Lonchura striata: one gene and its partners. The protein of the gene in region 1 purifies or fractionates together with the protein of each later gene. This does not show direct contact. Links are inferred from orthologs where the notes say so. Each region holds a gene or a part of one and is shown on either strand. Other genes may lie near its edges. The genes, in order: ZMYND8, MTA3 and KDM5A.

Region 1 (6,720 bases):
CCACCAAGAAAAAAAAATCACTACTCCAATGTAAAATAAATGCTCAAGCTGTAGCAGGACGCACAATCATGGTGACTTAAGACAAAAATCTGTATTTTCCAGATGTACCCGTGCATTATACCAGGCTTGTACCTCCTGCTGCAAAATAAGCATGTGGACAAGAGAATAAAGAGAAATATATTTCAAGCTTCCCCTTTGATTCCTGACAGAATTCTTTTGTCTTTTTGAGCAGAGTAGCTGAGTGGCTGAATATACATACTATATCTGTCTGATGTGCTTTCTATGGTTTTGTTCCTGCTAATAACTGCAGGTTTATAAATTTTTCTTTTGCATTTTTGCTTCCTTGAATCAAGAGGAGAGGGGCCTTAGGCCTTTCCTAAGGCTGCTGTTGCCTCTCTCTCCACTGTGTGCTCATTCTGTCTGATAGGCCCAAGTGTGTCAGCTTGGCAGCGTTCCCAGGCACCATCAGCATTACAACATTCCCCGAGTCGGGTCTGGGTTAGCACAAAGCATTGACAAATTCTGTGTATTTACTTTTGTTCCCATGCTGTTCTTCATAGGGATTAGGATTTTTTTTTTTTTAAGAGAATAATATTAGAGTAGAACAGTCACACAATGAGCATAAATGTTAACGGCTGACAATCCTCACATTTACTGCTTAGAGGAATCAAAATTTGGATGTTTGTGTGCCAGGGGTGATATCTCTGAGCAACACAGGTCTTTAGGTGTTCAATTAAAAAGAAATCTATCTTGAATGATTTTCACTATTGAAACTGATGCAAGTATTCACTGAATGTCATGAATTTCCAGTGTGTTTCTGCTGCTGTAGTGGGCTGTGATTCGCTTTATAGCAGCACTCTCCCCAGCTTCTGCTTCATTCCTAAAACAGAACAAACGGTCAGTGTATCCGTGAGCCTTCCTGCTCCCTGCCCTGAAAAACATTGCAACATCTAAAAAGAGAAAATGCTTCCAGCAGGGACTCCAGCATTCCTTCTGATTTGATAATTTATACTCTGGGCTGTTAATCTGCTGTTGCAGGGTGAAATGCAGAGACAGAAGTGTAAGCACAGGATGGGCTGCTGTGGCAGTTCCCTGTGACAAGGCTACCTCAAGGAATAATCTGAATGCAGAATGGGACAATGCAGAGCAGGATGACTAATTTTACTGAGTGGCACAGTTATGAGTCACGTCAGCTCTCAGGCAGTGAGGTTTGTGTGGTAAAGTAGTTATATCGTGAGAGGTGCTGTATGGAGGTAAGGGAGGGCACTAGGTTTTGTTGTGGTGATTGTTTCTGGGATTATTAGCACTCGACTAAACGTGACATGCATATTCTGTTTGCAACTCTTGTAGGTTTATGGAAGAGGGCTTTTTATAGATGGTTTTGCACAGTCTGAGATCCTGCATGTTGTACTGGAAGAACGTTTATTTTTCTTTGATTGTTCTATCTCATTATATAATAATTATTGTTTCAATGTTAAGCGTCTCCCTCTACACCGTCCCTTGTTTTTTTTTTCTTGCTTTTGTTTAATAAATAATTATTTTATATTCAATGTGCTTCAGATTCACCCTTTCATCTGCAATTTCCATTGCAATCTTCATGGCTACAGAATGATAATATAACACAGATACAAAATTTTGAACAATAATGCAAAGGCATGGTGGAGGCTTTCTAAAAATTTAACCTTTAAGATCTTCATCTGGAGTTAAGACTTCCTTCTTGGCAAAACGATAATTTCTCCCACTTTCACTGCATTAGGGAAAAGAATGGAATCACATTTTTTAATCAAAAGCTTGGGAATTGGCCCAAGATCAAACCGGTTGCTTACACGCCGCTTTCTCATTTTGTTTCATTTGCAGCATTTTCGCAGGAGATAAAAAGGTAAAGCAAAAATATCTGAAAAATGATGTGGATGTTTTCGTGGGGGCAGACTGATAACTTGCCTCGTAGAGAAATCTGTGTTTTCAGGGCCTGTGTTGCATCTCAAAAAGCACCAAGTCCTAGAGGGTTAACGGACAGGAAGCTGCAGTTACAGCCGCTCCTAAGGAAGTCAGTTTTTGTCTAACAGCCCAGGCAGGCCGAAAGGTAGGGGCTGGGGGGGATTCCAGATCTCAGGGTCTAGGATGACATGGATATTTTTAGTTTTGCCCTGCAGCATTTTAAACACGGGGAGGGCCTGCACCAAGTGGTAGCAAGGCTCCGTGATAAAGCAATTTCAATTCTGGAGTGCTTTTTGGGAAAAGGAGACATGAGTGTTCCTGCTTAAGGCTCCTTTTTCCCTCTTAAGACTCAGCATACCACGAAATCACACTGTAGGTACATGGTTGCTGTGCTGCATGTTCATGTATTTAAATTCTGGAGCAGGAGAACCCTTCTCGGAGTCCTGAGTTGTTCATTTCAGTCCCTTCTGTGCACGTGCACTTTCAGTAAGTTCTGCTCTCCGCCTGTGGCCTCGCTTGCTCGGCCAGCGCAGCCCCAGCAACGCCAATTGCGCTTTCCGTGCGAACAAAAGAACAGCTCTGGCGACCTGGGCGAACTCTGCGTCCTTCGGGTTCAGAACAGCCAGCTGCCTTCATGAGGCGGCAGGCTGGGGCACACGGGCCGGGCAGGCGGTGCGCGGGGAGCCGCGGGCGGGCCCGGGCCGGGCCGGGCGGGCGGCGGCAGCCGGGCCTAGCGCGCCGGCCTGCTCCGAGCCCGGGATGGCTCCTGCTCCCGGAGCCGCACAAAGATAATCGCTCAGGAAGTGTCTCAGCCAATCCCCTGGCGCTTTACATGCGGATTTGCCGGGGCAGCCAATCCGGGGGCGGCTTTCATGGGGAAGACAGATCATCAAGCCCAAGTGCCAAGCCCTCCCTGCCCGAGTACTGAGAGCCTGTCCTCCATGTTTTATAAGTATTGACATAACACTGTGTTAACAATGCATCCACAGAGGTAAGCCTTGCTTTTTACATTGCTTTTTCTCTAAGACCTATGAGTTGTGGGTTGAGAGTGTGATTCTCTGTGATTTCTCGTGCAAAACTCACACCACAGCACTTATATTAAGTTGGAACTGTTTAAATTTGCTTTCTTGGGTCACATGGTTAGTAGCCATTAGCCACAGCTTTATTTTACAGTCTGGCAAAGCCTTGGCATGCCTACTTCTTCACAGGAGGATGGTGTTTTTAGAGTTTATCAAGATCCTGGTATTCCAAAGGAGGTTTCTGTCTCTGAGCAGTTTGCCAGCACTATTGTCTGTTGTGTCACATGCCTGCTGGAGAGAAAATGGAAGCTAGGGAGCAGATGCATTTAACTGCCCTACAGGGAGTCAAGCAGGGATAATGGCAGACAGAGGAACAGGCAAGTTTACCTTTCTAAACAGTGAATGGAACAGCTAAGATAAGTTATCTCTGAGAAAATATGGGATTTTTAAAAACCTAGGCATCAGCAAAAAGTGCTAATGGCAGATTGTAGATATTGGGCCTAGGTGGTGGTGTGCTGTTGCATCATGTTTTTTATGCAGCTTATCTTAACTTAAAATGATTATTGAACCTTTTTTCTTGCAGGAGTAATTAATACAATGCTTTTCTCTTTCTGAGGGACAATGTATGGTTAATATTTTGTTCCTTTAAAAGGGAGTTTTTATGCTGCAGATTTTGGAAATGGAGTGCTGCTCAGTAAAACGCAGCAGTGCATCTGTTTACAAATCTGATGCTTTATGGAAAATGTTTTTGAACTGTTAGCTTCCTTGCTTTGCATAGTTCAAATAAACTAATGCAACTTTTATCTGTGCCTTTTTGTTTTACATTGTACCAGCCACAGTTCTGTGTTGTGGAGTCCAGAAGATATAAAATCATGTGTGGTTCATGACAGTAGTACATGTTGTTCGTTCTTGGGTTTTTTTTTCCCTTTTAATTTTTTTTACTTTTGGTTAATTGCTACGTAATTATTTCAAGAAATTCCTTTTTGATCAATTCCAAAATCTGCCAGCCTGTTGTATCTCCTTAACTGGAAAAATGAGATGGGTGCTTGAACAGTTGGTAAGTAAGCAGCATGCTACTCTCTGAACATTTTTAATAGTTTTCCAAACATTTTGTTTTTACTGGGTCAGTCAGTGAAGTAGATGAAGTGATGTTGGTGGTTAGTCATATAAAAGATCAGATTTGTTTAGCGTCCATTTTAAGGGACTTGTACATGTAAACTGCTGTATTTGAATGCACTGTTTTTCTGATAATTTGTCTCTAAATTTTGAAGCTTTTACTTCCTGTTTACCTTAGGCCAGTGAAAAATATTCTACTTGCTGTTCGTTCCTAGATCATTAATTGCCATGTTTGCAGGGCAAAGCGCGTTTTCACCGTTCCTTGGGCTTTTCGGGTGTGATGAAAGTGCTGGTGCTCAGCAATGAAGTGACCTTAGGAAGTAAAGTAAATAACACTTAATGAGCATATGTTTCTGATACTATACAAAGTATAACCTCAGACAAGCTTGCTTGGTTTATAACTAATTTAGAAACATTTTGTGCTCTTTATAAAGATTTTAATTGTAGCGCCTGCATGCTTGTTTGAACAAGCTGTTTTTCAGTGATCACTAGGGCTGTTACAAAAGCAGAGAAGGGATGCTCTTTTGTGTTTTTAATGTAATTTTTGCACTTGTTTTAACAGTCCATACACATTTATTATTTTCGGAAAGAACTGAAAGCTAGGCTGGCTTTGCAAATAAATAACTGTGCTGAGGCACAGGGCATGCAAACTTTTCTAGCCCCTTGCCATGTATTTGGTAACGTTCTTTAACAGCAATTTACCTCTGTTTGCTTGTTTACCAGTGTGAGTATCTTACTTTGAATATCTCACTTTGGCTAAAAGCTTTCCTATCCTATCCCCCTCTCCATGTTTCCCCCTCCTCCCTTCCCCCCCCCTGCCCCCCCCAGTCCCCTAGGATTAGATTATAAGAATGTCTAGTTCAATTTAAAACCTGAAATACTGCTGGGGTACCACTGAATTTCATGTGATAGTATTTCTGTATGCAATTTTAATGCATCTTTCAGTATACGTGAAAGTGCTGACACAGCTAAGAAGTTATTCTGGTTTTTGCTCTTCAGTTGCTAAAAAACAGAAATTACATTTGGACACAATTTTCCTAGTAGTAGTTTATACATGCTAGCTGTTTACTTTCAGCCTTTAAGAATGGGCAACATAATATTTGTTTAATGTGAGGAAGCAGGGGTAAGTGATCTGCAATCAGAAAGCTTGTATTAAAATGGCTCCCACAGGTTTTGTTAAACCAGGATCTGTTTCAAATCTGCACCTCCAGACACGCTGCTGACAGTGAAGCGCATTTGTGTGAGCTGCCCTCGTGCATGTAATGAAACGGAGCATCGTGAGTCTGTTAAAGTTCACTATTTTCAATCACTCGGGTGTAATTCTTTTATAGTTCACAAAAAACAAATGTCTGCATTGCAGCAAGATGTCTGAGGCAAGGTAGAGACAGCAGCGCTGTGCCTCGGCTCAGCCCAATGGCACTGCTCCGCCAGCGCCGGAGCCAATTGCTGCAGCAGGCAGGTTAAAGATTGACAATTGCAGTGGCAAGGCTGAGAAAGGCCTTCTGGAAATTTCTGCCATCTTTGTTCCATCTAAGCAAAGCAAATTCAGACAAGCTGAAGGATTTCAGATGTGTATATTTTTTGGTGCTTTGTCAAGGTACAGTGTTATCACTCACTTCCCTAGGTTGTGTAATAAGCTGTTTTTTCTATTCAGGACAGATGGAATGTGGGTTTTTGTTTTAAGTGACAGATGCAGGGAAAAAGCACGTATTGCTTTCTCCCCAAGATTTTACTGGCCTGGATCTTGTTACAATCACAATTAGACAGGACATGTATGAAGCAATGCAGCTGAGGTTTATTCAGCTTGGAGCAAATGGCCATTATTCTGATTATAACTAGCAGTTAATCGTATAATTACACTGTAAGTTTTCTGGCTACTAGAGAGCAGTTTGAATTGCCCAGGATGAATATGATTAGGCATTATTATTTAGTGCCAACATCCAGTTACTTTTGTAATTAACTGGACAAAGAATGGAGTGGGGGGAAAACAAAGGAGTGATCTGGATTATAAATCATGGTGAAAACAGTAGCCTTTTAAAAGCTACATGCCTTTTTCATTCTTTGCAGGCAAACTGTTTTACTTGGAAGCTAAATAGTGCTAGGGAAAAGCTGAGCAATTTCTTTAAACAAATGACACTACTTAACATATTGGAAATGAAAAAAATGCAGAGTATAAACCACTCCAAATGTAACAGTCACCCCCCCTCACAGTAGGTAGGAGTATGAAATGTAGCAGAAAACCTACGTTGCTACTAAGAGAGCATGTAATGAAAGGAACATCATGCTCAAAAAGCAGAAATAGATAGATTACATCACAAATTTAGCCCTTCATATCATGTCCACAAACTTCAACTGGCTCGTCTTCCTCAGCTGTCTTCCATTTTGTGATACCACTTTTGCTTGAGGTTGTTGTTTTGTTTTGTTTCTGGTTTTGTTGCTTTGTTTCTCCTGTTCTGCCTTGCTTTCCAGTGTATTGTGTTGTATCACTTCCCAGCTACTGTGCATCCAGTAGCTCTAAAGTGATAGCTGATGGTCAGTTTTCCATAGTGGTGGTACTACTCCAGCATAATTGGTTAAAGGGTGATAAATCTTAGTAAAAGTTCTCCTCTGTCTGAAATTTAGGGTATTAATTTGAATTCCCTAAATA
Region 2 (6,720 bases), on another chromosome or scaffold:
TACCTTTGTCTATATAATTCCACATGCAAGAAAGAAGCCTGAAATTGCCTATAAATAAAAGGTGAAACTTTTTGTACTATCTCTAATGGAAAAAAATTATTTCATAGTAGTGTTCTTTTAAATACATTAAGAAAATTGTATAGCTCCAGTTGACCTTATAGGCATGTAATAGACATGATTTAGGTGCATCTGATGAAGCTAAAGAGAAAAAGCCAAAAAAGAGGGTGCAGCCTGGATAAATCAATAGACACTCTGTGGGAGATACTGTGAAAGGTCCTTGGTCATCTCTTCTCTCAGTGTCTGATGTCCATCTCTTTCAGGACTGCTGATCTTGCTCACCATGGGGGCAGCTGGCCAGCCTGGACCATGGAACTAGTCTGTGTTTTAAAATGATCCTTTTAACACTCCATTCTTTCTTTTTTGGCTTTTCTTTGGAGGACCGTGAAGAGGAATGATGGACTGCTCACGGTGGCACAACAAAGAAAATTGTAAAATGAAGCTCTCAGGTAACCCATGTCTCTATCAGGAATAATCTCTCTTGTGTCTTGAATTAGGTTGCCACAGAAATGTGGTTTCTTTTGAACAGCACAAGTGATATCAGTCTATAGCTAAACATAGTTCATATACCAGGTTAAGACAAAGCTCTTATCTGTTTTTGGGGTTTTTTTCTTAACAGTTTTGTAGTTGAAACAAAAGTTTTCCATTCTATTTAATCTAGAAGAATGAAGGTGTTTACATAACTTTAATTTTTCCCATTCTGTACACTGAGAGAGCACTGAATATAAACTGTATCCAGGCTTTTGTGTATGTTACACCAAAGTAAAATGTACTGCCAGTCCTGCAACTCTGTATCCACTAGCTGGCTGTGCCCACTCCCAAAGCAGTGACCTTGAGCTATGGATGTACTGAGCACCTCGGGCTGTGCTGCTGCTGTGCGAGCCGTGTTACTGCGAACAAGAGGGCCCAGTGATTCAGTACTGAGGTATATAAATGTCATTATTTCTCTATTTATCTGGTCTGCGATGCAGCCTCAGTCTGGCAGCTGTAAGTAAGGGTGGTTTTCTAACTATTTTCAGGCTGTCCACCTGAAAGGACAGGCTGGGACCATGGGCTTCCCTGGGCTGCTCTCTCACCTTCTGTATCTCCAGGAGTTGCTTTTCTCTTCCACAGGCCATGCCTTCAGCTGATGGAAGCAATGGTCTGTGTCTGTCCAAATCTACTCCTTGCTGGATGAGGGGACATCGTAAACTTCCTAGTGAGGGCAGTCCCCCTAATGTCCAAGTGCAGACTTAAAATGAGGAAAAGAGCTTGGAGGCATTCTGTTTAATTGGAAATGTCTGTGCCAAACCAAATGTTCGAATTAACTTCTCTTGCCTAAAAAGTTTAACCTCTTTCATTTGCCCAAGCAGTAAAACAGGAGAGTAAAAGTAACACCTCAGGTCTCTGCTAAGGTCATGTTATTGTGCCTTTGGAAATACCCAGCTGGACAGAGTTGGTACTTCCCAAGGAGCTTCTGCTGACTTGTTTTCAGTTCCCACAGATGTTCAACAGAGGAAAATTCCCCATTTTTCCTTTCACTGCTTGAATGTGCTGCTGTTTTTAAAAGAAAAATAAATTACTGTATCATGTGCCTGTTACATGTGTTTCAGAAAGTTGCTTCTCAGTTGGCGTTTTGATACAAAGTTGTAGTCACTTGAGAAATTAAAAGTGTCCTGGAAGTAGACAAAACTTTATAGTCCCAGATTTGCTTAGAGGAGAAAAGAAAGACAGGATATAATCGTTTGAAACACCAAGGATGATCACCCTCCTTCTAATCAACGCATCTTCCTGCAGCTCAGGATGAAGTGAAATTTTAACTTGGTAACGCTCAAGCTGCACACATAAATATCCAGGACATAAAACCAATAATAAATCATCCCCTTCGTTGCAGGAAGATAATAACAAGCATTTATTTTCCAAGAAAGCATGCCACAGCAGGATCAATTTGTTTGTAAAGTGTATGGATTGTTGCTTATGGTGTAAACTTTGTATAAACAGGGGGAAATGGCTTCATGTTACATCAGTATTGATGTTTTTTAAGCATCTCTCTCATCGGATGATTTGTAAGCATCTCTTTCGACGCTTCCTGCCTCCGAGATGAGCTGCTAGATTTATCTTTATTCTGTCGTAGATGTTTTCTGCTGCCTGTTGCGAGCAAGCTGCATCCTGCGGACGGCGGAGAGCTCCGAGAGGCACCGTGCCCGCGGCGGGCTGGGGGCGCCGGAGCCGCCCGCGGGACCGCGCTACGGAGGCGAACAAAGGGGCCGCCAAACCCATCACCAACAGGTGCTGCGCAAGAAACAAACTTTTCCTGAGATACTACTCAGAGCTGCCAAAGGAGAGAGATCCCTCAGCCGCTCCGGGGAAGAGGCAAACACCAAAAAACCCCCAAGTTCCGAAAGGGTCGGAACAAAGCGGCGGGAGCCCGCAGAACGTGGCGTGCCTCGGGCAGGGCGGGGAGCGTGTCCGCGCACCCGCACCTCCCCCGGCGCCGCCCGGCCGGACCGCCCCACCCCACCTGCGGCCGGGCCCGGCCCGGACCCGCCCCGGGGCCGGTGCGCGGGGGGAGCGGCGGGGCGCCGGTTTAACCCCTTCCCCGCCGGCGGCTCCGGAAGCGGCGGCGGCCCCGTGGGGCGCTGTGTCCTGCGGCCGGGCGGCGAGGGGTGGCGGCGCGGCGCGGGGGGGGCGGCGGCGGGAGCCGCTCCCTCCTTGCCCAGCCCGGCCCGGCAGAGGCGGCAGGAGGAGGAGGAGGAGGAGGAGGGCGGCGCAGAGCGCAGACATGGCGGCCAACATGTACCGAGTGGGAGGTATGTGGGGACGCGGCAGCGCCCGCCCGGAGCCCCCCGCGCCCGCCCGGGGGTCCCGCCGGGCCGCGGGCCGTGCGCGCCGCGCCGGGGCGAAGAGCGGCGCCCCGGCCCCCGGCGGGCGCGGTCCCGAGCGGGGCGGCCGGGCCCGGGCGGGCGGCGAGAGGAGGCAGCCGGTCCGGCGAAGGGTCGCCGGGCCCTCCGCGGGGCGGAGGACGCAGGTTCCTCCCCCGCCAGCCCCGCGCGCCGGGTGGGAGCCCGGCCCCCGCCGCCGAGGAGGAGAAGGGCAGCGCCGCCCTCCGCGGGAAAGCGGGGAGCGGCGCCGCCGGCTGCCAGCCCCGCGCCGCGCCTCGGGCCGGGCACGGCCGCCCTTTGCGCCTCGCCTCCTCCCCGCAGAGCGGCGGAGGGGCCGAGCGCCGGGCCCCGCGGGGCGAGCAGGGGCCGCCCGCCCGGCCGTGCGCCCCCGGGCCGCGCCCGCCCCGCCGCGGCCTGGCGGGCCCTGGCGGCGCGGGGCGGTGCGGGGCGGCGCGGGGCGCTGCGCACGGACAGCCCGAGCCCACCCCGGGGCCGCTTCCCTCCGCGCCGCTTCCCTGCCCCCGCGCCCTCCCTCGCTCTCACGGCGGAGTTTCTCCGCGCCTTCCTTGGTCTGCTGGGGATAAATAATTAATCTGGCTGCGTAACCGGGGGATTTCTGTCAGCTTCCCTTGCTCGCCGCCGTGACCCCTGAGCAGCGCCCTGATTCGTGACTGCTTGGCGGTGGGGAGAGGGCGTTTAGGCGGTGAAAAACACGGCAAACGTTTGTCTTCCCACCCCGAGCCTGTCGAAAATGACACGGATAACTTTGGCTCGCTCACGGAGGGAACGAACGTGGCAGTGTGCCCAGTGCTGTGGCTCAGGTGCACTGCTCAAGTTAGGTATGTAGTACTGGGTGCTCAAAAATCGCTCCATCCTCTTGCTCTCTCAAAATCCAGAACCGAGAGGAAAGATGTGTGGAAATGAGAGGTGACAATAGTTTGAATGCTTTGAGATACACTGATGGAGCCACAAATCTTCCATCTGAATGCTGTCTCATTAGAGCACTTAGATTTACTCATGAAAGTAATCCTTCTCTGAGCAGGTAGCACAGAGGGTTTACCTCATGGGTCACCAATTATTATTTTTTTTTTTCGTTGTAGTCATAATAAACAATTGTGAGCACTATCCAGAGATCTTATTCTTTCATTAGAACTACCTGAAGTTCTTTTTCATTGTACCGTAGTGTCAAACTGTTGCAGAAGGCTTTTATACATTGTTATAGTTCCTCATCCGATTTTTAGAAACAAAGTGTGCAAGGGGCATGGTACAGAAGTCCAACATCAACTTTAAAGTGTGGTTGACATTTGGTGGGTAGTTCTTCATTGGACAAAAACAAGTTTTCAGAAAACTATGAAGGAAACACACTTGTCAATTCTTTGTATGTTACATGGGAGCAGCTTTCAGGATATGAGTAAATTTCCATTCACTTTATTAAGATATTTTTATATTAATGATGTTGAAAGAGACTTCCTACAAGATCCTTGCTAATTTCATGACAATTCCTGCTTAATATAGTTTGCATTTTAGTGGACAGAGATTACAAGAGCAAGTATCATAAAACATACATTACTCATTGGGACAACTGTACTGCCACAACACCTGATAATAAATGTGACGTGTCGTCTCTTACAGAAATGTAAATCTCGGTAATATGGAAAGTCACTAAAGTGCTCAGTTCTTAAATCTTCCCTAATTGATTGTGAGAAGTTGCTCCTTCCCTATCAAGATTAATGAGGTGTATGGATTACTAGATTACGGTGTAAATTTCAACACAAAGCCTTTAACTTTTTCCCAGCATGGTTGTTAAAGCAGGTGTAGTGCAGTTAAAACCAGAATTGAGGAACAAATTATATTAAATCTCAGTGTAGAAATACATCACGGTCCCAACATTTATGAAGAAATCTCAGCCCTTTCAAAACTTCTTGTTTTAGAAGAAAACTTTTGCACTAATAGTGATATGTCTTTACATAATTTTTGGTATTTCAGTGACTTTCCCTTTTTTCCTTTCAGATTATGTTTATTTTGAAAATTCTTCCAGCAATCCATATCTCATTAGGAGAATTGAAGAACTTAACAAGGTACAAATATCTAAGATTCTTTCTTAGCCTTTGGCAAAAGTCAGGGTTCTTGTTAAAACCTGAGAATTATTTCTATCCCATAAGATTTCTACTGTAGGAGGGATTTATGAGGGTTACTGAAAACTTGCTATGTGATATCCTCTTACTCGACCCTGTTACCTAAGGAAGCACCCAGTTGTTCATCCCTGGTGAACAGGATTACTCTGCTGCAAAAATTTTCTAACGAATTCTATGAATTCTTGGAGAAATGAATAAATTTCATTCTCTGGCTGACGATGACACTGTGAATCCATCTGGAATCTGACACTGTGAAGCCATCATGTAACGAGTCTGCTTTTAGATAGACATCTGAAGAGCTGGCAGGTACCAGCGAGACTTTGATCGAGTAACACAATGTGTGACTTCTGTGGCTTTATTGCTCTGCCTATTGGCAGCTGTGAATGAAGAATGGGCTTTTGAATAAAGTACAAACTGTGTCCTCTGTCTTTATCATGAGTGTATTTTCCTGAAAAATGGAGGCTCTGTTGACAGTCATTTTGGGGAAAGCATGATTATTTTTCTTCACTCTGACACTACTAAGAATAGTGTGGTGTTTCTATGGGTTTTAAAATTATTTTTAATATTTTTGTATTTTTTTTTTACTTTTCCCTCAAGCAGTATTAAAACTTACTGATGCACTACATCAAAAGTTAATTGTTAAAATGCTCATCATGATGTAAGTAATGATTAAGATATTTCTCCCCAGTGGTTAGAAAGTAAATTAAAAAATTGGTGACTTGCAAGTGGTTTTCTTCTTATTAATGAAACATAACAATATGCCATAGCAGACATCAACCACATTAGCTGTTAGTGCTGTCCAATGCAACATCCACTGAACTTGTGCATGGCAAATAATTTTTGACTTTTATTGGAGAAGAAAATTTTTTTATTCACAGTAATTGACATGATTCCAATCATATATTGAATGTAATGTTTATTATCTTTAAACTGCATTGCTATAATTTAATCTTGCTTATGCAGGGTAGAAGAGAGTCATGTATTCATTTTTTTTCCTTAAAGGGAGGCTGGAGGTTGTAGTCCACACATCTTGAATGTGAATGGTTTGCTTTCATATGTTAAAGGTATTGAGCAAATGTGAAGATATTATGTAAATATGTAATAAAATGCTTTGATTATTGTTCTAATAGGGACAATATTTTTTTTGTAAGAAGCTTAATCAAAACATTATACTTTTTAGTATTAAGTAAGTAACTCAAGGTAAAAAACTACTTTTGTACCCTTAAAGGAGAAGGATAAAGTTCTTCAAATATTAGTAAATTCTTTATAGAAGATTGTGGTCCTCATAATGAGTAATTAAAACAGTGAACTAAACTGCTCTTTTATTTTAGGAGCTGTTGTGACTTTCTCAAATAAATCTTTCAAAAGACTTTTTCAATAAATGTTATATTAAATGAGATTCTGAAAAAATGCCCGAGTACTTTGAAATATACATTTCTGTCCAAAGCAGGATTGTAAAGAAATGTTCACAAGATTCTAACATTTCTGAAGGATTCTTACTTTAGAATGCATTGCACCTCTGAAGACCTGAACAAAATATAAATTCTGAGGACTCAATAATTGTAGTTAATCCTCTTGTCTGCTCTGAAATTGGTACTGGCCTCTCTCAAGAAGATTTTATATTTGAGTATATTGAAGTAGTTCTGTTGATTTCAGCTTGACTAATC
Region 3 (6,720 bases), on another chromosome or scaffold:
ATGTTTTTTTCATTTAATTTTTCCCACTTATTTAATCTCTGAGTTAATAAGATTAGTGCTGTAACACAAGTCATTCCTCTTGCTTGGCTTCTTGAGCTTGAATGAAAACTAAAATCCCTGTCTGCCTAAGGTCTACAAATACTTACCTTGCTCAGACCATACAGATCCAGTATTTTTCTCTCAACCACAGGGATTTTTAAATTGGATCCTTGGAGTTCCCAAAATTTTGCTAACTGATCCAGGAAGTCCAGTTTCACTCTTGTCATTGCCTGGAATCAGTAAAGGTAGACAATCACGTATGTTCAAAACCAAATGTGGCAAAATCTTACAGTCCTGAGAGAAAACAAGGTAAGTTTTTATAGTGTTTCCATTTTCAACATGGAACTTGCCTGGGAGGTATTTCTTTATCAGGTAAAAAAACCCCTAAAAATATAAATTTTGTTTAAAAAAACACTTCACAAAAAGAAAATTACATATGCTTTTCTCTCTGCATTTAAGACACTATAAATTAAATTCCTACCAAATAATTTCTTGGCCTGAAAGCAAAATGCATGCTTATGAAATGATCATCATTCCAAGCAGAAACACAAGAAAAATTATTGTGACCCCCGCCAACAGTCACATTTGACTGCATTTGACCTGAGGCTGTGGAGAAGGCTTCCAAAATAGAATGATAAAACTAAGATTATGGGTGTGTAGTTTGAATAGAAGTGTGTAATATCACATGGTAGAAAACTTAGAGCTTTAAGTTTTAGAACACAGTAATTAATATAAAGCAAGAGAGAGGTTTTTAGTCCCTCTTTACCTTCTTCTCCATGGGTTTGGGTGGTATAATGTAATCAGATAAAAAAGTCCACATTGTGGGCCACAGGTGGTTAGTTATTAGGTTAAAAGTAAAAATAATTTGTGTCATTTCTTAATTAGAGATTAAAAGGCCTTGTAGAGAGAGAGATATAGCTCCATGTTTTTAGTGTGTTAGAGTGAAGTGCTGTAGAACTCATGGCTTGTGAGACGGTAACATAGATAAGAACTAATAAACACCTCAGTCCAAACAAGAAATAGCATCTCAAGCTTTAATCCCAACCATGGCAAAAAGAAGTGGTGTCCTGTGTGAACAAGACAATTATCTGTGGGGAGGAGGGGAATTACCAAGTTTTTGTATGTGCCAGTTTTTATATATTCCTTATCCACACAAAGGGTCTCTTCTCTGAAGTATTTCTGGAGTACCCAAATCACTTTCCATAAGGAGACCCATTTACAAGCCAAATGACATTTTGGTAGGTGAACAAAGCAAGGCTTTGAGAGATGTTGCAGAGATAAGGAAAAATCAGGACAGAATGGAGGTCATACTGCTCACTTAAGTTTTAAAATCATAACATTATCAGCTATAATAAACCTATAAAAATAATTTTAAGGATTAAAAGGCATTATTATGACAGTATGAGGTAACCAGAGGTATCAGAGCAGCAGGAAATATTTTAAGAGGAAAAAATCATTGCCTGTGGAGCTCTGAAGGCTAGATACTGGCTGCTCTTACTAAACACATGATATTTGGAATTCATTCTAGACACTATCAGGTGAATGAGAAAAACTCCTGTGGTTATTTTGGGGGAATAAAATAAAAAACAGAATTTTCTCAAAGCGAGGGAGGGTTATTTTATACAAACTTTGCCACTGCCAAGTATAAACACTGATGTGGTCTACAGGCTTCTGAAGTGTCCCCCATCCAGAAACCTGGCAAGCTGCAAATCTCAGGCAGGAAGACCTCTTTCTTTCAGTGCAAGCACAAAATTATATCAACAGTGAAAAAGCTCACCTCCAGTTCATTCAGGCGCTGAATTCGTGGAGTGAAACGAAAACTTTGTACTTCACATGCAAATGGAGGCTGCCAGTCCTAAGCAGAGACAGAAAGACATTTTACTGCTTCCAGAAACTTCTCTGAAAAATGCACAAAACCAAACACCCTAATAATGCCTCAGTAAACAAGCTTCCAATAGTAAATTAGTTTCTCAGAACAACCGGTGATATAATTTTCCAATTTTAAGATATTTTCTGCTTATACAACAATGTTCCTCCCACCACATTTTAGTTTGAATAAAGATCCTCACAGATTCAAAAATGTCAAAGAAAATAAGGTTCAAAGCATCTCAGTATGCATTACCTCATGCTATGCTTAAACATGAAATACACTCTTTAGCTGATCGGTTATTTATTTACTTTAAACAAAGAATCCATATATCCTGCACACTGAAAAATCCTCAGTGTCAACAGCAACAAAGGCTAAACCAGGCATATCATAACATATCTAAAGGTTTTCTGCTTGTCTACAGTCATTTCAATAAAGACAAGACCACAAGTTGTGAGCCCAATTCTTTAACAGAAATGGAGCCATACATAATGATTTTCTCAGCAACATCAGGGGTCCTTGCAACTACAAGTGCCTCCCACTCCCATTTCTCAAACCCTGTTACATCAAAACAAGAAAATCAGCTTTTTAGCACTTTTTACCAAAGCTTTAGTTACAGCAGAGCATCCACCTGGCAGTGGCTACACCAGAAGAAGGACACGCCATTACAGGTGGACAAGCCACATAATCTGCTGCAGCATGTAAAGGCCTTGAGCACAGCCTTAAATATTTACAACTTCTAATAATAGAAAATAGCAATTAATCAGTCAGGGTAGTATGAAATGTCTGATTTAGCAATTATTGCAGACTATAAATCAACCCAACACGTGCATCCTGTGAAACCCTGAAAGGCAAGCAGCTCAGCAGTCTCAGAGAAACGCAAATGCATCCAACAGCCAGAGAAGTTTCAGTTATCCTCAATGAACAGGATCTGGATCTGTTCCTTGTGGGCTCTCAAACTGAGCTATGCAGCTTATTTTAGAAAGGGCAGCCCCTTGGAGGTCAAGTTTTCACCATGTCACTAAACTAACTAAACACATTCCAGGAACCAAAACAGGTCAGGAGAGAACCAGGAAATCCAATCAGCAACCCCCATATCTACACTGTTCTCAGTTACACACTTTCTTTTCAGGTTTTTACCTCTCTCACTGTTTTCAAGTCTCTTATTAACAGCTGCATTTGAAGTGTATTTGTACTCTAATAACTCACTGATGTAAGTGCCTTTTGCCAAGCTGCCTGAAGCTCTCCCTGTGATGACCCGCCTGGTCACTAGGCAGGTGACCTGTAACTCCCAAGCCATCGGAGAGATTAAGCGGATACCTCCCGAACAGCTGTGAACAAACGTAATGCCCGCACACCAACAGGTTGGCCACCCTCCTCTTAACGGTCTAAAAATTGTGTTTATGAACAATGATACAAAACGAACAAATACCCTTCCCTCTCCCTCTTTCCCACCCGGAGCAAACGCCCGATTTCACCTACAAAGCCTTCCCAGCTTTCACAAGTCGACTGCTGGCGTTTTGGAAATAAAAATAGCACGAAGTCCCGGGCACCACCACGCACTATTCGCTTCTCAGCTGCTCCAAAGCAGCCTCTACAAAGCCCCGCTCGGAGGTCAAAGATTCTACAGGTTCCTCGGCGTCCCTGGCACGGACACCGCGGCCTAAGGAAAGCGACACACGAAACCCCGAGTGTGTGCGGAGAGGGGGGGACTGGCCTGTCCAGCTCCTCACGTCCTCCACCCGGCCACCGAGGGCCCGGCCGCTCTCGGACCACCCGGGGATCCGGCAGGCGCAGCCGCCAAGGCGGGCGGTACCTTGGGGGGCCGGATCTTGCAGATGCCGGTTTTCTCGGCCAGGCCGCGGATGCGGCCTATGAAGCCGAGTGGGTCGCTGAACTCCTCCCAGCTGGGCTCGAATACGGGGCACTCGGGCGGCGGCACGAACTCGGCCGCATAGCGCGACCCGCCGCCCCCCGCCATGGCCGCAGGGGGAGGGGGGCGCCGCCGCCGCCGGGAGCGCAGGGCGGAGAGGGATGGCCGGGGGCTCAGGGGCTGGGCCGGGGACCGAGGCGCATCCCCTGGCGGCGCTGCCGGGCGGGGCGGCGGAATGTGCTGCCAAGCGCTGCTGCCGCTGTCCCGGCCGGGACCGCTGCCCCCGCCCGAGCCCCGCTCCTCGCCTCCCAGCCCGCCGGAAGTGACGTCCCTTCTACGGCCTCCCGGAAGCTCTCGCACGTTGCCTTCCGATCCAAAAAGTAGTTCCTCCGCAGCGCTTCCTCTGCCGAGGTGGCTTCCTCGCTTTCAGCTCCCGGACAAGCCCCCGCGACAGAGCTCAGGGCAAACCGCCCCGCCCGCCGCCTCTCAGGGCACTGCGCCGCGACAGGAGGGACCGGGGGCCGGGGAGGGCGGGGCCACCCCACTTCCGCCGCGGAGGAATGTGTGACGAAGTGCGAGCCATTCTCTTCCGGTTCCGCGGGGCCGCGTCGCCCATTGTCTGTGCCGGACGTCAGGAGCGCCGCTGGAGGCCCCGCCCCTCCCGAGCCCCGCCCCTCACGGGCCCCGCCCCCTCATGGGGGCCGCCCTCTCACGGGCCCCGCCCCGAGCTCGCCCCCGGCAGCGGCGGTGACGGAGGGAGGTGTCGGAATGGGGAGGGAGGCGCAAGTGTCACAGAGTCCGGCTGCCTGCCCTGCACAGCACATCCCCAGTCACACCGTGTGCCCGAGAGCGGTGTCCAAATGCTCCTCGAGCTCTGGCAGGCTGGTGCTGTGCCACTGCCCTGGGGAGCTGTTCCAGTGCCCAGACACCCTCTGGGGGAAAAACCTTTTTGTAATATCCAACCTAAACCTGCCCTGGCACAGCTCCAGGCCGTTCCCTCGGCTCCTGTCAATGAGAGATCTGTATCTTTTACCTATCTGTTGCAACACGGTCTTCCAAAGTATGTTTTTTTGTGTTCAACCAAAACTGTGCCTTCGCTATCTACCAAATGCCACATTTCACTCTATTCTTACTGATTATTCAAACCTCCGTGCTGGTGTTCTGTTTCAGCCTCAGAAAAAGTTTATATCCTGAGCTGGAAGGGACCAACCAACAACGGTCATCAGGGCCAGTCCGTAACAGCAGCCTATCTTCTGGACTTTGCCAAGAGAAATTATCTACCCTGCTATTTTCTCTATTTCATGAGAAAATTGATTTGAAGAAGAATCACAGAGTTCTTCTCTCTGGAAGGGACCCACAAGTATCATCAAGTTCAACTCCTGGCCCTGCATAGGACACTCCAAGAGTCACCATGTGCCTGAGAGCGTTGTCTAAATGCTCCTCGAGCTCTGGCAGGCTGGTGCTGTGCCCACTGCCCTGTGGAGCTGTTCCAGTGCCCAGCCACCCTCTGGGAGAAAAACCTATTTGTAATATCCAACCTAAACCTGCCCTGGCACAGCTCCAGGCCATTCCTTTGGCTCCTGTCAATGGTCACCAAAAAGAGATAAATGCCTGTCCCTCCTCTTCCCCTCACAAGGAAGTTGCAAATTGTGATGAGGAAGAACCTTGTGGTTTCTTAAATAAGCTTTTTTTTTTTCCCTTGTCATATAGAAAGTCCATGTCTTTTAAACAAAGTTATTGTAAAATGCAAGTGAACCCAGTGGGAAGAAATGATGATGTCCGACTCTAGTTCAGAAGGCTGAATGATTTCTTTATTATAACTGCTATAATACATTAATATACTATATAAGTAAAACTACAAACCTACTTGTTCTAACTACCATATCTAACTCACTCACAAACTGTGACCCTGTTCTTGAGAGTTCAGATGCAGGTGGATTGGATTGGCCATCAGGCTCAAACAATCCTCACCAGAATCCAATCAAGGAATCATTTCAGGTAAACAATTCTCCAAGCACATTCCACAAAAAACAAGGAGCAGAAATAGAAATTGTTTTCTCTTTCTTCCTTCTGTGCACCTCTATGATAAATCCTGAGACGGAGAAGAATGTCCCTGTGACACAAAGTCTTAAGGAAAAAAGAACCCTAGCTTATTGCTGAGCAATTTTTTTTTCTCCAGCACACTTAATAAATTAGGAAATCGTTTGGTGCATAAATGGCAACACTACTACTAGGTACTACCGGGAATACATGAGGAGGATGAGGAGGCTAAAAGGCAGCAGGATGACCTAAAGAACACACTCAATTCAGTCAGAATTTGTGCCAGTAACTTCTTGTGGCTGCTTCCGAATGCCAGGTCATTTTCAAAGGAAAAGGGGCGTTTTTGCCAGAGCGGATAAAGGTTGCTGTTATTTTGCCCGCAGCCCGACCCGCTGCTGTCACAAGCGCGGCTCCATAAGCACAGGCCCCCGCTCCTCGCAGGCCCTGTGCCCACCCCAGAACTACAACTCCCAGACGCGCCGGCGCGGAACCGCTGACGCCCGCGACGCGAGCGCTGATTGGTGCAGGCTCCCGGCGCCGCATGGAAGCCTGTCTGTGATTGGAGGAGGCCGCGGGGCGGGCTGTGGCGCCGTTTAAGCCGCGGCGGGGCCGGTGTGGCGGTTGCTCGGCCGTTGGGGCCGTGCGGAGGCGGTGGCGGTGGCGGAGGCGGGACCCCATCCCCGGACCTCTATCTCGGGGCTCTTCCATCGGGGATCCCGCCGGGCACCCCCCTCGCCCGCCTACCGGGGTGCCCAAAGCCGCTGTCCCCCACCCCTGAAGGGCCCGGCTCTCCGCAGGGGCACGATGAGCGCAGCGGACCGCGCTGCGGGGAGCCCGCGCTGCGCAAGGTAGTGAGTGTGGGGCTGCTGCCGCCGGGACAGGCGGCTCCCGGAGCCTTTCC

What was found.
Region 2: the proteins of ZMYND8 (region 1) and MTA3 purify together in Homo sapiens (affinity purification with mass spectrometry, with the first as the bait; 3 studies listed by BioGRID). This does not show direct contact. The link is inferred for Lonchura striata from reciprocal best matches to the Homo sapiens genes ZMYND8 and MTA3.
Region 3: the proteins of ZMYND8 (region 1) and KDM5A purify together in Homo sapiens (affinity purification with mass spectrometry; 3 studies listed by BioGRID and IntAct, with this or other methods). This does not show direct contact. The link is inferred for Lonchura striata from reciprocal best matches to the Homo sapiens genes ZMYND8 and KDM5A.

Annotation. Positions count from the first base shown.
Region 1 is NC_134619.1:8,586,539-8,593,258, forward strand, and holds the start of ZMYND8 (MYND-type zinc finger-containing chromatin reader ZMYND8), read left to right. Parts: upstream 1-2,798; 5' UTR 2,799-2,915; coding exon 2,916-2,929; intron 2,930-3,063; exon of another isoform or gene 3,064-3,334; intron 3,335-3,488; exon of another isoform or gene 3,489-4,014; intron 4,015-6,720. UniProt on the Homo sapiens protein: Chromatin reader that recognizes dual histone modifications such as histone H3.1 dimethylated at 'Lys-36' and histone H4 acetylated at 'Lys-16' (H3.1K36me2-H4K16ac) and histone H3 methylated at 'Lys-4' and histone H4 acetylated at 'Lys-14' (H3K4me1-H3K14ac).
Region 2 is NC_134605.1:14,012,559-14,019,278, forward strand, and holds the start of MTA3 (metastasis-associated protein MTA3), read left to right. Parts: upstream 1-2,721; 5' UTR 2,722-2,818; coding exon 2,819-2,846; intron 2,847-4,928; coding exon 4,929-4,996; intron 4,997-6,720. UniProt on the Homo sapiens protein: Acts as a component of the histone deacetylase NuRD complex which participates in the remodeling of chromatin.
Region 3 is NC_134607.1:11,876,476-11,883,195, forward strand, and holds the start of KDM5A (lysine-specific demethylase 5A), read right to left. Parts: upstream 3,953-6,720; 5' UTR 3,888-3,952; coding exon 3,723-3,887; intron 3,330-3,722; exon of another isoform or gene 1,895-3,329; coding exon 1,817-1,894; intron 334-1,816; exon of another isoform or gene 270-333; coding exon 147-269; intron 1-146. Other genes in the region: CCDC77 (coiled-coil domain-containing protein 77), read left to right, coding at 6,624-6,667. UniProt on the Homo sapiens protein: Histone demethylase that specifically demethylates 'Lys-4' of histone H3, thereby playing a central role in histone code. Does not demethylate histone H3 'Lys-9', H3 'Lys-27', H3 'Lys-36', H3 'Lys-79' or H4 'Lys-20'.